2 linked regions of the Diceros bicornis minor genome follow. The protein of the gene in region 2 purifies or fractionates together with the protein of the main gene of each other region. This does not show direct contact. Links are inferred from orthologs where the notes say so. Each region holds a gene or a part of one and is shown on either strand. Other genes may lie near its edges.

The links.
Region 1: the proteins of RET (region 2) and STAT3 purify together in Homo sapiens (affinity purification with western blotting; 3 studies listed by BioGRID and IntAct, with this or other methods). This does not show direct contact. The link is inferred for Diceros bicornis minor from reciprocal best matches to the Homo sapiens genes RET and STAT3.

The regions. Positions count from the first base shown.
Region 1 is NC_080757.1:41,523,932-41,531,419, forward strand, and holds the start of STAT3 (signal transducer and activator of transcription 3), read right to left. Parts: upstream 3,095-7,488; 5' UTR 2,885-3,094; intron 1-2,884. UniProt on the Homo sapiens protein: Signal transducer and transcription activator that mediates cellular responses to interleukins, KITLG/SCF, LEP and other growth factors. Once activated, recruits coactivators, such as NCOA1 or MED1, to the promoter region of the target gene.
Region 2 is NC_080745.1:14,922,467-14,929,391, reverse strand, and holds the start of RET (proto-oncogene tyrosine-protein kinase receptor Ret), read right to left. Parts: upstream 3,100-6,925; 5' UTR 2,983-3,099; coding exon 2,916-2,982; intron 1-2,915. UniProt on the Homo sapiens protein: Receptor tyrosine-protein kinase involved in numerous cellular mechanisms including cell proliferation, neuronal navigation, cell migration, and cell differentiation in response to glia cell line-derived growth family factors (GDNF, NRTN, ARTN, PSPN and GDF15).

The sequences.
Region 1 (7,488 bases), on a different chromosome or scaffold from region 2:
TCAAATCTCTCCTTAGGCAAGAAGACTTCCTAGACAACTCCAGGCCTCATAACCTCTCCTTCCTCTGAAGACCTGTAGCTCTTAGTGCAGCACTGTCCAAGAGAACTTTCTATGATAACAGAAACGTTCTATATCTATGCTATATGTTTTTAATATATAATAGCTACTTTGTTGGACAGTGCAGGCTAATGTCTCACCATCTCTCTGAGGACATGTTGCATTGTATGGATAAAGCATTTATCAAGTTGCCTCAGTAGACTGCAAGTTCTGTGAACCTTTAAGGCATCTTATTCTTCATAGCAACTTTCACAAAGATGCAAAAAGTAAATATTTGTTAATTTGTACACTACCTCTGAAAAAGCCATAAGATAAAAAGGTGCTGGACTCAGCAGCTGGAGTGATGGTCCCTACCTCTGCCCCACTTCACATCTGAATGTCAAGACACTCAGAGGCAGGGAGAAGACAGCAACTTTCTGGAGACACAAATGACCACTGATCAAGCCACAAGGCACTTTGGTTTAAGGGACATTTAGGTCACGACCATCCTTCACCTACAAGCTTGCCTAAATAAATATCTCTTTCCATTAGCAAATAGCTAAATTCTGATGGTAAATTATGCCAACTAAAAAGTTAGTCACTTCCAGGGGCCAGCCCCGTGGCATAGCAGTTAAGTGCGCGCACTTCACTGTTGGCGGCCTGGGTTCGGATCCCCAGCGCCCACCAACACACCGCTTGTCAGGCCATGCTGTGGCGGCAACCCACATAAAGTGGAGGAAGATGGGCACAGATGTTAGCTCAGGGCCAGTCTTCCTCAGCAAAAAGAGGAGGACTGACATGGATGTTAGCTCAGGGTTGATCCTCTCCACAAAAAAAATAAAAAATAATCATTAAAAAAATAACAATAAGAATAAAAAAAGTTAGTCACTTCCCATGTTAGTCATAGCAGTTAGACAGAAAAATAACCTAAGCAAACCCGATTTGTACTTCTTTTTTTACCTGTTTATTAACTATCACCCTTGGAGTCTTACAACCTATTGGTAGTATTTCACTGTCTAGGTATATGTTAGAATTTCAGTAACACTTTTCCCAGCAGGGCCTACACTCACTCTAAATCAAGACCTAATACTTAAGCATAGATAGTCAAAGAACACAAAAGATACAGAAGGGATGAGTTCTACCACTACGGCACTCTGCTACCTTGGGCAAGGGTCTTTTTCCTTTGTTCTCAATTTCCTTATTACCAAAACGGGGTTGACGTTATATGAACCATTTACCTTTTGTGGGTCAAGTCATAACTGGATAGTTCTAAATAGTTATTCTTCCCAAAAGAACTACATATAAAAGTAAAATATTCATGAATTTGCTAGTGGTTCTTTGTGGGGGATGTGCTAACAAATATAGAAGCTAAGATCAGCCCTCCAACATCTACAACAATTTTTTTTTGTATTGCAGACTTCTTCCTCCCATCCCACTATACAAATGTGTAAGCAAAAATTCTGCTACTACTCCAGTCTGGCACATGTAATAAGGAAATAACCTTTGACTCAGGGAACACACACATTTAATATAAAATAAAATAGAAAATTGGCAGAATCAAGTCATAACAGTCTAAATTCACATATAAAAGACTGAGATGATTTACTGTTCTGATTTCTTGAAATCAATGCTTTATCAGCACAGTCAGCCCCAAAGTTACATCCCATACACAGAATAAATATACCCTTTAGATGCACACACAATAAAAACCAGCAGGTACGTTAGATACATTTTTAATAAGAAAAAGTGTGTCAACACCATACACCCATTTGATACAACACAGAGGGATGTATGTGTACTACACATGGAGAAGCAACTTGGGTGACGGTTGGAATTTTATTAACTTAAGCCCAACCACACCCCCAAACACAGGTAAAGTTTGCACACATGGCTTTGCCAAGGCCAGCCTGTCTTTGTTTCCCTCTCCTCTGCGTTTACCCAAGATCTTGGCTCTGAGACAGAAAACTCCCACTCTCGATTGGTTCATTCTGTCCTATTCAATTAAGCAATACCACAATCCCGTAAACGCAAGGGCTCAATTATTTATCTTCTGGCTGAATGTACCAGGTGTTTATAAAAGAACAATGTCAAGGAGGAAAGAGGTTTATTTCTCTCTAGAGCTGGCTTGATGGGGGTTTTATTATGTTTTTTCAGAAGGAGTAGGAGGGAAGCACGGTTTAACCTAGAAAAAGACGGGAGGGAATTTAGAAAGAGTACGAGACTGTCAATTTCCCTACAGGAAACTCGATTCTTATGCAATAATCCTACGCACAACCAACCAGCCTGTGAGGCTGTAAGGGAAGACACCTATTCCCACCTCCAGAGCGGCAGAGCTGGCTCCTAAGGAGCGGGAACAGGGCAAGGCGGAGGAAGTGGCTCAGCCGGGAGCCGCCAGGCCCGCCGGGGGACAGGAGGAGGCTCTTTCCAACCCCCCCTCCCGGTGATCTCCGCGGCGTGACAGTCGCTCCTGTGGCCGGAACGTCCCCAGAGCCCCAGGGAGCAGGAAGTCGGGGGGCTGTCCCTCACTCCTGCCACCCCCACCCCAGGTGCCCTCGCCCCAAGGTACTCCCCCTCCAGCCCGTTCTCCCTCTTCCTCGGCGTCCCCCCTTTCTCCAAAGAACGAAACTTCCTTCCAGTGCCCCCTGTCCCTTCAGAGGCCCGCTCCTGTCATCCCGGGGAGTTGTCCCTTCAGAGCGACCCTCCGTGTCCCCTCGTAATCCCCCGCTCCGCTGAAGTTTCCATCCACAGCTCCCCCAAACACCCGAGAGGCTTCCGGCCCCTCCGGTATCCCCGGGGTCCCCAGGTCTGGGGGCCGTCGGGGGGCGGCCCCACCCTTCACCTCCTTCACCTGTTTCACGGGCTGAGGCCCGACAGGCCGGGGCTGCGCTTGCGCCGGGGTTAGGCCGCGGGTCTCCCTCAGGCCTTGGGGCCTCTCCTAGCAGACGCGGAGAGAGAGGGCCGTGCTGGGGCGCTCGTCAAGGATCCGGTTCGGGCTCACTCTCTCCGCGGCGACGTCGGAACCCCAGGCTCCCCCTCCCGGTCTACGCCGCCGCGGCTCCGGAAACCACTGAATTACAGCCCCTCCAGCCAATCCCCGCCCAGCCCCAGCCTGGCCGGGACAAGCCGCTGCTGCATAATTCATGAGACGGCCAGTTTTCTCGGCCACCCAGAGGCCCTAGTGCGTGTGCGGGACACCCAAAGCCCCACCCACCGACCAATGAGGAGAGCCTCTGGTTGAAAGGGCGGAGCCAAGACAAGGCTGGGAACGCCCCTATGCTGGCTGTTCCGAAGGCTTACTGCTCCTCCCTCCGCAACAACAGGGAAGAGCAGAGGCTTTGGGCGCAGAAGCCCGGGGGGAGGGAGGGAAGATGACCGGAATGTCCTGCTGAAAACTCAGCTGAGTTCCTGGCAGTGCGTGACGTCAAGACACTTTAAATGCCCCTGATGCGGCTCTCTTCTGCCTGCTCTCCCTTCTCCCGGCACTGAACACCACGTGGGGGCGAGGTTGGGAGCCACTTACCACGTGGGAATCAGCCAGTTAGACAGTCCCCAGGTATCGCCAGATCCTCAGGGGGCCCAACGCCTGAACTGGGTTTCTGGGGACAGCAAAAAGAATATGGGTGACTCCTGCCTGCTTTGAACTTCAGTTTCTGCGTGAGTTGGGACACACACACCCGGAAACATGACGTGGAAATAGAGTAATTACTAGAGTGCGTGGGGAGAGGGTAGTGGATTTAACCCTGTCCTCCGTTCCGTCGCTTCAAGCATCAAACGCCAACGGCTCGCACAGTGGCCAGTTCAGGAGAATGCAGAAAACAGTACATATGAAGATTGACACGTAGACACGCTATTTTTATGCGTCTGAGTTGAAATAGTTGAAATTGCCTGCCTTTTTCTTTTTCGTCTCATCTCCTCTACTTCAAATGCAAGTTTTACTGCATTAAAGCTAGTAGTTTATAGGAAATGTAGACATTTTACCTTACATAACAGAGGATGTACTTTGCATAATGGAGAGATTTGTATGTGTGCTGACGCTCTCAGAGTTTTTAAAAAATAATAGCTATTAGTATTTGTTGTGTTTGTTTGATATAAAGAGGTATAAAGATGAAATCTAAAAAGGGCCCATTATCTCACCACCCAGACAACCCCTGATGGCAGTTTTTTCAATGAAACTAACACATGGTAGTGGTTAGAAAATTCAAACACATCAGAAAAGTCGAAAATTGAAAATGAAAATCTTCGCCCTTCTCCTACCAGTCCTTCTCCCCTAGGATAGCTATTCTTATTAATTGCTGGTGAGAAAATCAATGACCCTTAACCTGTGGGGGGTCACAGATCCTTCTCAGTCTGCTGGAGACTACAGATTTTAGCCTCAGAATTATACAGCATGAGCTTTTGCTCACAAAATCTCATGGTTCCCCAGACACCTGAAGCCCGGCCAAAGACTCCAGATTTGGACCTTTGGACCACCTCATGTCCAAGCGACAGGTGAGAGCATCTATAGGACAATTGGTGGGGTCACTGGTGGTGGGATTGAGAGTTTCCAATTGCCCTCCTGTAGACCCAGCCCAACGTGGAAAACGCAAAACGCTGTATTTGTCTGTAGTGTGTGTGTGTGTCTGTGTGTGTGTTTGTGTGTATTGATCGCTGTGCTTATCTTTGTCTTCACCCCAGGGCAGATATCCCCCACCTTCCACTTCACCTAAACTCTGCTTTAGCTGTGCTATTCCATGCAGTTGACTGCCTCCCTAATAGCATTGGGTCTAATATTTGTTTAGTTATTTACTGCTTACAAAGCACTTACATACTCATCACCTCTTTTCTTTCTCACAACAATTATGTGTAGCAGATAGGAGAGGCCATATTATTTACTGATAGGAAACGAAGGCCACAATAGTATGACAATCTCAAGATCATGGAGATGCTCAGAAGTATCCCAGGTGGGTTCAGAGGCAGGTTTTTGGACTCTGCATCCCATAACTTTGTTCCATCCACTCAAACCCTGCCCTCCTCCCCTGACTCCTCAGCAGCTGGCCTTTGTTTCCCTCACTGCCCTGCCTCACATTCACACATGAAATCTACCCCTGAGTCCATCTGTTCCACCTACAAAACCTTGCTCCAGCCCAGCCAGTGGCCTTTCTCTACACTCTACCAAGTGTGGCATAAAGACAGCAGGTTTCTTGAGCCAATGTTTTGACCTGAACTCCCTTTTCCAGCCTCAACCCCTCCATCCCACACACCTTATACTCCCACACTGAATTTATCACCTTTCTCCAAACATGTCGACACCTATAACTTCATGCCTTTGCAGATCTTCTTCCCTTCACCCAGAATATCTTCTCTTTCCTCATTCCCTGCCCGAAAACTCTTACTCATTCTTCAAAGCCCAATTCCAACCTCACCTCCTCTGGGCTTTCTGAGATTACTCCTGACAAAGTTAATCTCTTCTGCTGGACTCCTTTAGCAGGTTGCTTCCCCATCTAGTAGAGCATTTTCCACGTTGGACTGTAATATATCCATTTATTAGCCTACTTCCTGATAAATGAAATTAATAATTAACATTTATTAAGTAATTACCATGTTCCAGGAACAGTGCTAAGCTTTTTATATAGATTATCTCATTTGATCCTCCTGAGAACTCAGTGAGGTAGGTTCTATTATAATTCTCATTTTCAACTGAGGAAACTATGGCTGAGAAAGTAAAAAAGACTGGTCTAAGTTCCCACAGCTAGAAACTACGGGCAAACTCAGAATGAGAATTGGTTCTGGCTGACTCCAAATCCTGGACTCTCTGCCCACATGCTTGAAAACATCTCCCCCTAAGCTTTAGGTTCCTGGAAGCTTGAATCCCTTCATAGTCATTTTCACAATCCCAGCGTCTAGCCCAGAACTCACCTAAGATTGAGTTAATTAAATAGTAATAAACACGTATTGAATAATCATATCAGCAATAGTTAACACTCATTGAGTGTTTACTATGTATTATGTAACTCATCTATTAATTCATTTAATCCTTGCAATAAACCCATGAGAATACTGTGATTTTACAGATGAAGAAAATGAGACTTACCCAAGGTTGAGTGACTTACCCAAGAACACAGAGCTGATAAATGGCAGAGCCAGGATTCAAATCCAAGTGTGTCTAATTCGAGGCCTGAATAGCTGCTCTTCCTTGGCTATATCTCCAGACCTAACCTTCCTCTTGGATCCCCAAGGAAAGGTGTAAAGGAGGGGAAAAGGTGAGGTCCCCACTCTCCACTCATCAATCAAGTGAATAAAGACAGAGTGCAGAAGCCCTGTGAGTTTACGGTGGTTTATAAACATGTTCACAAATTCTTTGACACTTCTCCCATCTAAAGGTAGAGTCTAATTCCACTCCCTGAGTGGCTTACTTCTAATAAATAGAATACAGCGGAAATGATGCTGCCATGACTTCTGAAGTCAGGTCATAAAAGGCAATGCAGCTTCTACCTAATTCTTTCTCTTGGGACACTCACCTTTGGAACTCAGCCACCATGTTGTGAGGAAGCCCAAGCTGTATGTAGAGCTCATACGAAGGTGTTCTGGCCAACAGTCCAGCTAGGGCCCAGCTGACAGCAAGCATCAACTGTGAGTGAGCCAGCCTCCAGATGATTCCAGCCCCAGCTTTCAAGCCAGCCTAATGGAGGCCAAATGGAGCAGAGATGAGCCAATTTTGTTGAGCCTTACCCAGATTACAAATTCATAAGCAAAACAAATGTTGTCATTGTTTTAAGCCACTCTGTTGGGGGTTTGTTACACAGCAATACATAACCAGGATAGGTTTCCATTATCACCTCAGAGAGACTCAGGACTGTAGGGGTTAGATCAGGAACTGAGACTGATCAGACTTTATTAAGTTCTAGAAAATTTTTATTTACTCTCTCTTCCCTGGAGGAATTAGCAGTAAAACTCTAAATCAAGAAGAGGGCATGGCAAGGAAGAGAAGATTTGGAGAAGAACCTTGGTGGCAGTAAATGGTGGCAAGTCACTGCAGTGACCAGAGAGGGCAAGGGACAACTTTCGTGGGTGATGGGAGCCCCCATGGGGGCAAAGCAACAGAAAGGCTTACACAGTGCTGCCCAGCTCCCCCTCACTAAAATCACAGAGAAGAGCAGATCTGTGCAACGTGAACTCCTTGGACCTCTACTTTCTCTGCAAAAACTCACTTCTCAGACATCATCATGCATCTCTCTTTCCTCCTGTCTGAAGAGCAGTCCTCCCTACTCAATATTTTCAAGGCTAAGCTCTTTTCTGTGCTGCCTAAAACATCATTCATATCATGACATTCTGTTCCTTCAGTGACTTCTCATGGCGGGGGCTGGCCCGGTGGCATGGTTAAGTTCCTGTGCTCCGCTTCAGCGGCCCAGGGTTTGCTGGTTCAGATCTGGGCCTGGACCTATGCACCACTCGTCAAGCCATGCTGTGGCAGAG
Region 2 (6,925 bases):
GTCATGGCAAGTTTTCCCTTCTTTGGTACCTGGGAGTGAAAGGCCCAGGGGGTCCGCAGGCAGAGAGGGCAGGTCCTTCCTTGCAGCCAGAGGTGTTGGGCAAAATGGGACCCAAGAAGCCAGGCCAGGGAGACGAGAGACGTGAGACCTGCTGAGAGCTGCAGGGAGTCAGGGAGACGGTGCCAGGTGAGGGGTCAGCCTGAGACACGCAGGGGGAGCCCCAGGAGCTGGGATTCCAATTCCTCATCCAGGCAACAGGGATGGCTGTACCTGGGCTGAGCAGCAAAACTCTTCTAAGAACAACTTTTAGATGGAGGTTCCCTTGCTCTGGTTCCAGGACACCTGGGGCTGATGGGTCTGCCCTGAGTGTATGAGGTGGTGAGGGGCAGGTGTCTCTGTGTGCCTGAGTGGCAGGGAGAGACGCTGAGATCCTGGGGTGGGGGTGGGGGTGGGGTGGAGTGTGAGGGGCCAGGTCACGCTGAGGGAGTGGGTGTGTGTCCACAGGCCTCATGATCACATATCCTTGAGGAAGGGCACGAGTGTGTCCTGGTGATGATCGAGTGTGAGTGTGAGCATAGATGTGAGGGTGTGTATGTGTGCGTGCACAGATACCAGGGTGTGAGGGAGAAGGAGTCCTGTCCTACTCTGGGAGCCTGTGTTTCCACTGGCACCTTTTTCTGAAGGTTTGTGTGGTCACACACAGTGAGAGTGTGCACACGGGGATGGGCGGGGACATGGGGTCTGTTTATGTCCCATGGCCTTGCTCTGGGCATCCCTGGGCCCTCCAGCCCACCCCTGCCAGCCCTGAGGCAGCTGCTTCTGCCCCTGCGCTCTGGTCTCACCCACTGCCTCTTCATCTGGGTCACGTCCCTGCCATCTCACCTGGCACAGAAGGGAGCTTCCTGTCTTGGGGAGGTGTCTGGCCCAGCAGGGGACCGCCTTCATCCTCTGGAGACCCAGCCCATCCCCCAGGCAACAGGCCCTGCCACTGGAGCACTGCGTCCACAAGAGGGCGCCCCCAGGCCGAGCTGCGCCCAGTCTGGGAGGGTCGGGGTGCAGCAGCCGGGCTTAGCAGTGGCAGTCTGGAGCAGCGCACCGAGAGCAAGGCTCACCAGCTCCAGGGTTGCTGCTTTTGGTAAAGGGCCCCCCAAGGCCTCTCCAAAGACCCCAGCTGCCTCTCCCTGGATGCTGCAGGACCACCTCTCCAATCTCAGTGCCACCAATCATGGTTTCTTTGTCATCACAAGGGAAGGGTGGATGGGTGGGGGCTCACTTTCCCTGGGTTGGAGAGCCTGTCTTCTGCCACCCAACACCATGGGCCAGGGGTGTGGAAAAGCCACCTGCATTCCTGCCAAGGGCCACAGGCCAACCCTCAATTCAGCCTCCCACAGCCTCACTGGGCCCCCAGGCTAAGTGCAAGGCAGTGGAAGGGTAGGGGGAAATCCTCTGTAGGCTGCTGAGGCCAGCACAGGCTGCCCAGCACCACAGGCTTCGGGCTCACACCTGACCACACGCCCACAACTACAAAGTTGCAACCCAGAGTTACAAGAGACTTTCAGAACACCTTGTTTGTGTTTACTTCTGCCCTGCCTTCAGCCTCCCGCCTGTCTTCCCCCTGCAGCACTGTGACCCGGGAGTCCCAATACTGGAAACAGACTCTCTCTGTCTATTCCTCCCCAGGGCAAGGAAAGGGTCTCTCTCCTGTCCTCCCTAGGACGGACTGAGGACCCCATTCTGGCTTCAGTAGGTGCTCCTTGAGCCCCGGATCCAGCCACACTAACGAAGACTTGGGCAGGCCTGTGAATCCAGAGTCTGGGCAGGACCGGGGGCTAGAGGCAGGGGACCACAACTCTCAGGTGACCAAAGGCCATAGGGAGAGAAAGCCCTTTGTAAGCAGTGGGGGAGGGTGGCCTGGCTCCTTCCCCACAGAGGGAAACTTGGTGCACACATAGTACTGCAGGAGGGGAGCAAGTCAGGGCGGGTTTGAGGGACCGTGGTGTAGCCAAGGCGTCAGAGATTCTACTGCCTTGGGGTTCATCCTGTCAGGGTTTGGGGGTGCGGGCAGTGACCAGCTTTTGCAAGGCCACATCTAATGCTCCCAGCACCGACGCTGGCGGCACACAGCCCTACCCGACCCCAAGCAGGTCAAAAGCTCTTGGTAAAGGTTGGCCCAGAGCCGTCATATGGTCCTACAGGCCGCAGCTTCAGGTGCCCCTGCCCGGCAGCGGCGCGCGACTCTAAAGCTGCCGGGTGTAATTTGGCCCATGGAGGGCCCTCAGCCGGCTGCGCCGGGCCAGTCTGAGCGGGCCCTCGAGGGCAGGCTCCCCAGAAACCACAGGCTTTAGGTTTTTTAAAGACTAGTGCGGCAAAAAATGCACAAGAGACAAGCAACCTTTTATAAAAGGGCAGATCCTCTTCGCACCCCGCGGCGGGCCAGGGTATCAGAGCTGAAGGACGAACGCGAGCGCGGACGTGGAGCGCGAAAAGGAAACCAGACGGGGCACTCTTCTGCAGAAATAGAACTCCTCGCGCAAGTCGCAGGCTTTCTAGGGCTACCTCACCCGTCCTCCCCTACCTGCGCCCAAATGGCGACAAGATCCGTCCAGTTCGCTCCAGGACGCGGCTGCGGCGTGAGGCGCGACCAGGCTGGGACGCGCAGTTGCGGCTCGGGCCCTGGGCACCGATTCCGGCCGCCCAGCGCGTCCCGCGTCCCGCTCCGGCCCGAGACCCGCCCTGCCCGGCTCCGAGGCGCCCTGCCCGCCGCACCACCTCGCTCCCTGCCGAGCCCGGGCGGCTGGCAACTGCGCAGCCCGCTGCCCGCGGCACACAGAATGCGTTTCCGAACGCGTCCACTCCGCTGCTCGGCTCCAACTTCGCCCTGGCTGTTGCGGGCACCAGCCGCCGGCAAGACTTACCTTCGCCGAGTAGCGGCAGCAACAGCAGCAACCGCAGCCCCGCGGCGCCGGCCGTCGCCTTCCCCATCGCCCGTGCGCGCCGGGGCCGCAGCCAGAGGGATGGTGGCTTGGGCTGGCTGGTCTCGGCGGCGGGGTGCGGCGCTCAGCCTGGCCGCCCCATGCCCGCCCGGGACGCGGCGGACGCGGCAGACACTGCGGGCGCGGAGCGTCGGGGCGCGGACTCCGGGGCGCTCTCCGTTGCTCTGCGCCGGGCTCGGGTCGCGGGACTGAGGCGGGGCGGGCGCGGACTGCGCCGGAGGAGCGGGCAGGGGCGGGGCGGGGCGGTGAGGGGGACGGCGGGAGGGCCGGGCGGCAGGCCGGGCGGGGCCAGGGTGCGGGCGGGGTGCGGGGTAGGGGCGGGGCTCGAGGGTACCCGGTCCGGCTGCACCGGTTGCGGGTCCGGCGGGGCGCGGGTAGGAGACGAGCGCTGGACGCGGGATGCGGGCTGGGCGGGGCGCGAGTAGGAACGAGGTGCCGGACGCGGGATGCGGGCCTGCCACCCGCAGCCCCAATCCTTGCACCTCCGCACGCACAGCCACTCTTTCTCATCCTGTGCACCCGCTCGCGGTTCTTGCGCTTCGCCCTTCCCAGCCGCCCAGACAGGGCAGGGAAACCTCGCCGGGATGCGGAGTCTGGGCGGACTGGCTGGGTGTGCGCCCGAGAGGACATGGAGACTAGGCGGGTACCCCGCCTCCAGGTTCTTGGCACGGCGCGGAGCGCATCCTCCGCCATTTCTCAGAGGGAGGGAGGAGCGGTGGGAGCGCGGCCTGCCCTGGGACCCGAGGCGGGAAGAGCGGAAGAGCCGGGGCAAGGGAAGGGAGGCCGGAGCGCTTTCTGCGCACCCCTGGGGCGAGCCTGGCGCGTGGCTTACGTACGATGTTGGCGGTCGCGCTGGGGGAGAGGGTAGGAAGGCTGGTTTGTGAGCCCTCTCTTTAGGGCTGGTCGAACCAAAGGGGGCAGGAAACTTGGTGCCTGGCACGCCTTTCAGAGAGACCTGGCGCTGGTGGCCTAATGGGGTGCTTGGAGGATGGGTACCCTTTCCCCCTTCCAAATAGAACTCTTAGGAAGAGGGACTGATTGGGTAGGAGAGAGTAGCAGGGAGGAACTGGAGCCCCAAAGAATTTAATTTTTGCCGAAAGAAATGATGCCCATAAACACATGCAATCCTAAGGAGGAGAAGGCTCTGGACCTCTAACTTGGAGGGTCCTGGGGTGAGCTTGGAAGTGTGTTCCAGACCTCTGTGGGAAAAGTCTGCTGTTCTCCTCCTATCCTCTAGCTGCCTTTTGAGGTCTGGCCTCCACCAAGGTGCAGAGGAATGGAAACCCATGGGGCCTTGGGGTGGGATGGTCCAGTGTACCTTGGCCTGGGGTGTCCTCTTCCTCCTGTGCACAGAGCCCCGCCCTCTTGCCTGGCTGGGCTCAGAGCTGAACAAGAGATCTGCAAAGTGAAGTCACCCTCGCGGGGAGGAGGAGGAGCTGCCAAGACAGAGGCTGGCGGTGGGGTCTGCCAGCCAAGATGTCCAGAGCGGGCCTGCTGGCAAGAGGCCAGGGCACAGTGCTCCCAGCTCAGGAGAGCCACCCTGTGGCCACCAGACCTTCTGTTGCCTGCCGCACACCCTCAGGGCCTCCAGCCCTCTGATTTATGGGGCTGGATTTGGCCATGGAGGTGCAGATAGGGCCTACCTCAGGTGCTAATGGCTACCAAGGCTGCTGAGTAGGAAGGGAGAGGCTGAGGGGGACTTTTTGGTTACAAACAGGCTCCTGTGGCTGCCACTACTGCATTCAGGAGAATGCAGAAGGAAAAGGGGTAGCCTGGCCCACTCTTCCAACCAGCCCCGCCCCCGTGCCTCACAGGGACCACCATGGCCAGACCTTGGCTGACACTGGACAGGCTGGATGTCTGGCTGGGCTCTACATGACCCACTGAGGTGGCGCTCCTGCCTGGGTCTCCTCAGGCCTTTCCACCCTCTCTCCACTACCACCCTTGGGGCCTTGAGTGGACACCTGACACCATGGTGGGGGCATTGCCCTCTTCTTAGAAAAAGATGTGGGGGGGCCTCACATGTATACCCCTGCACACACATGTATATGCACACATGCATACACTCATGTTCACATGCGTGGGCATGGGTGCATACCCCCCCACACTGTGCATGCCCAGGGACTGACCAGAGGGGCATCCAATAGAGGGCAGAGGTGAGGCTCTGGGCTTGCTGGCCTCAGGACTGCAGGGAAGGGAGTGACTCAGCCCTGCCTGGGCCTGGGCGTTGGCTCAGGATCCAGAATATCAGAGCAGCAGGAAGGAGCTTCCTCACCCAGCAGAGAGGAAATGGATGTGGCCTCCCTGAGGTCCCACAGGGGAGGTCAGAGGGTAGATCCCAGCTGTGCCAGTCTGTGAGTCCCCAGGAAGCCCCTCCCCTTTCTTCTCTGCATCCCAAGGAGACAGGAGTCTGCAGGAGGTTCCTGCTTCCTGTCTTGGCTTCCCCTAGTCATCTCTGTCTGAGCCTCAGTTTCCCCAACTGTAAACATCCCCCTCTCAGAAGGAAGAGTGAGAGTAAAAAGAGGGAGCACATGTGAGGGTGGAGCTCAGTGCCAGCACACAGTAGGTGCTCAATAAATCATAGCTACAGGTGCTGAGAGCTCTCTGGGAGTTGGGGGAGGGGGCGCATCACAGTGTGGTCAGTGCCCCCCACCCCTGCCTGCAGGCGCCCTTGGAGTATTGCCAGGGCAGCTTTTATCCATACGTAGATTCCTGGGCCCACCTGCGTAAAAATCTACATTTTTTAAAAAAGTTCCCTGAGAGGTTCTGATATGGGATTCTGCTTTGCTGTGAGTCAGACCTGAGTTTGAAATTTGTCACTTATAGTCATGTGACATTGCACAAGTCATTTTACCTCTCTGAGCCTCAGTTTTGTCATCTGTAAAATGGGGGCCAAAATAGTGTGTCCCTCCCTCAGGTGGCTGTGAGGAGTGACTAAAATAGTTTGCAAAGCCCCGCCCCCAGCGCAAGATAGGGTGCTCCCTGCAGCATTCCTTGCCTCTGAGCACGTGAGGCCCGCCTGGAGCCCCTTGGATCTGGCCCCAAAGCACAGCACAGGGCGGGGAGGGTGGAGGTCAGCCCAGCACAGACACGGATCCCAGCACGGATCCAAGCCACACAGCCTTGCCCAGGTGGGGAGGAGCTGCTGCTGGGGGTAAGAAGTAGGGCAGGATGCTCTGTGACCATGGATCCCGATGGCTGAGGGGACTCAGGGAGAAGGCAGCTGTTGGGAGTGGAGGCTGAGTGTAGGGACGGGAAACCCTGGCCCTGGGGGCCTTTCAGGGAGGAGCACAGGGCAGTCCTGGGGGCACTGGAAAGCCAGGCAGCATTCTGGGGACTGCTGACCAAGGCTTCTCAGGCCCCTGCCTGGGGCCAGACATGGTCAGAGCCCGTGTGGGAAGGGGTCGAAGTGCCCCCTGCAGGCAGTGTGATGCAGAGGCTGGAGGCAGACTTGGTGCCTCAGTTTCCCCTCTGTAATGGGGGTAATAATAGTTACCACTGCACTCTGCTATCCCAGTGGGGTGTTGAGGTGAAGGAGGGTCTATTGCTGCCCCTGGTTTTCCCTCCTCTAGGTACAACTGCAAGGAAAGCCAATGCCCACCAGTTGGCTGGGACACCCACAGCGGGGCTCCCTGCCCACCCACCCCGAGGTCAAATATGCTCTCCTGTAACATACTCACAGCACACCAGGCCTGGGCCTGCAGGGTGCGGCCCAGGGACACTCTTCACCTAACTCTGTGGAGGCCCCACCTGCCTGCCTCGTACCCACAGCTGGTGGTCACAGACAGGGCCTCAGCCCGGCTGGTGAGAGGACCCTCCCTCCGGCATGACAGGGAGCTGGGTGCCTGGGGCCTGAGCCCGGCACCTTGGAGTGCAAGGTGCATGGATCCTGCATGTCCTATGAGGCTCAGACAAAGCCCACCTCCACCCAG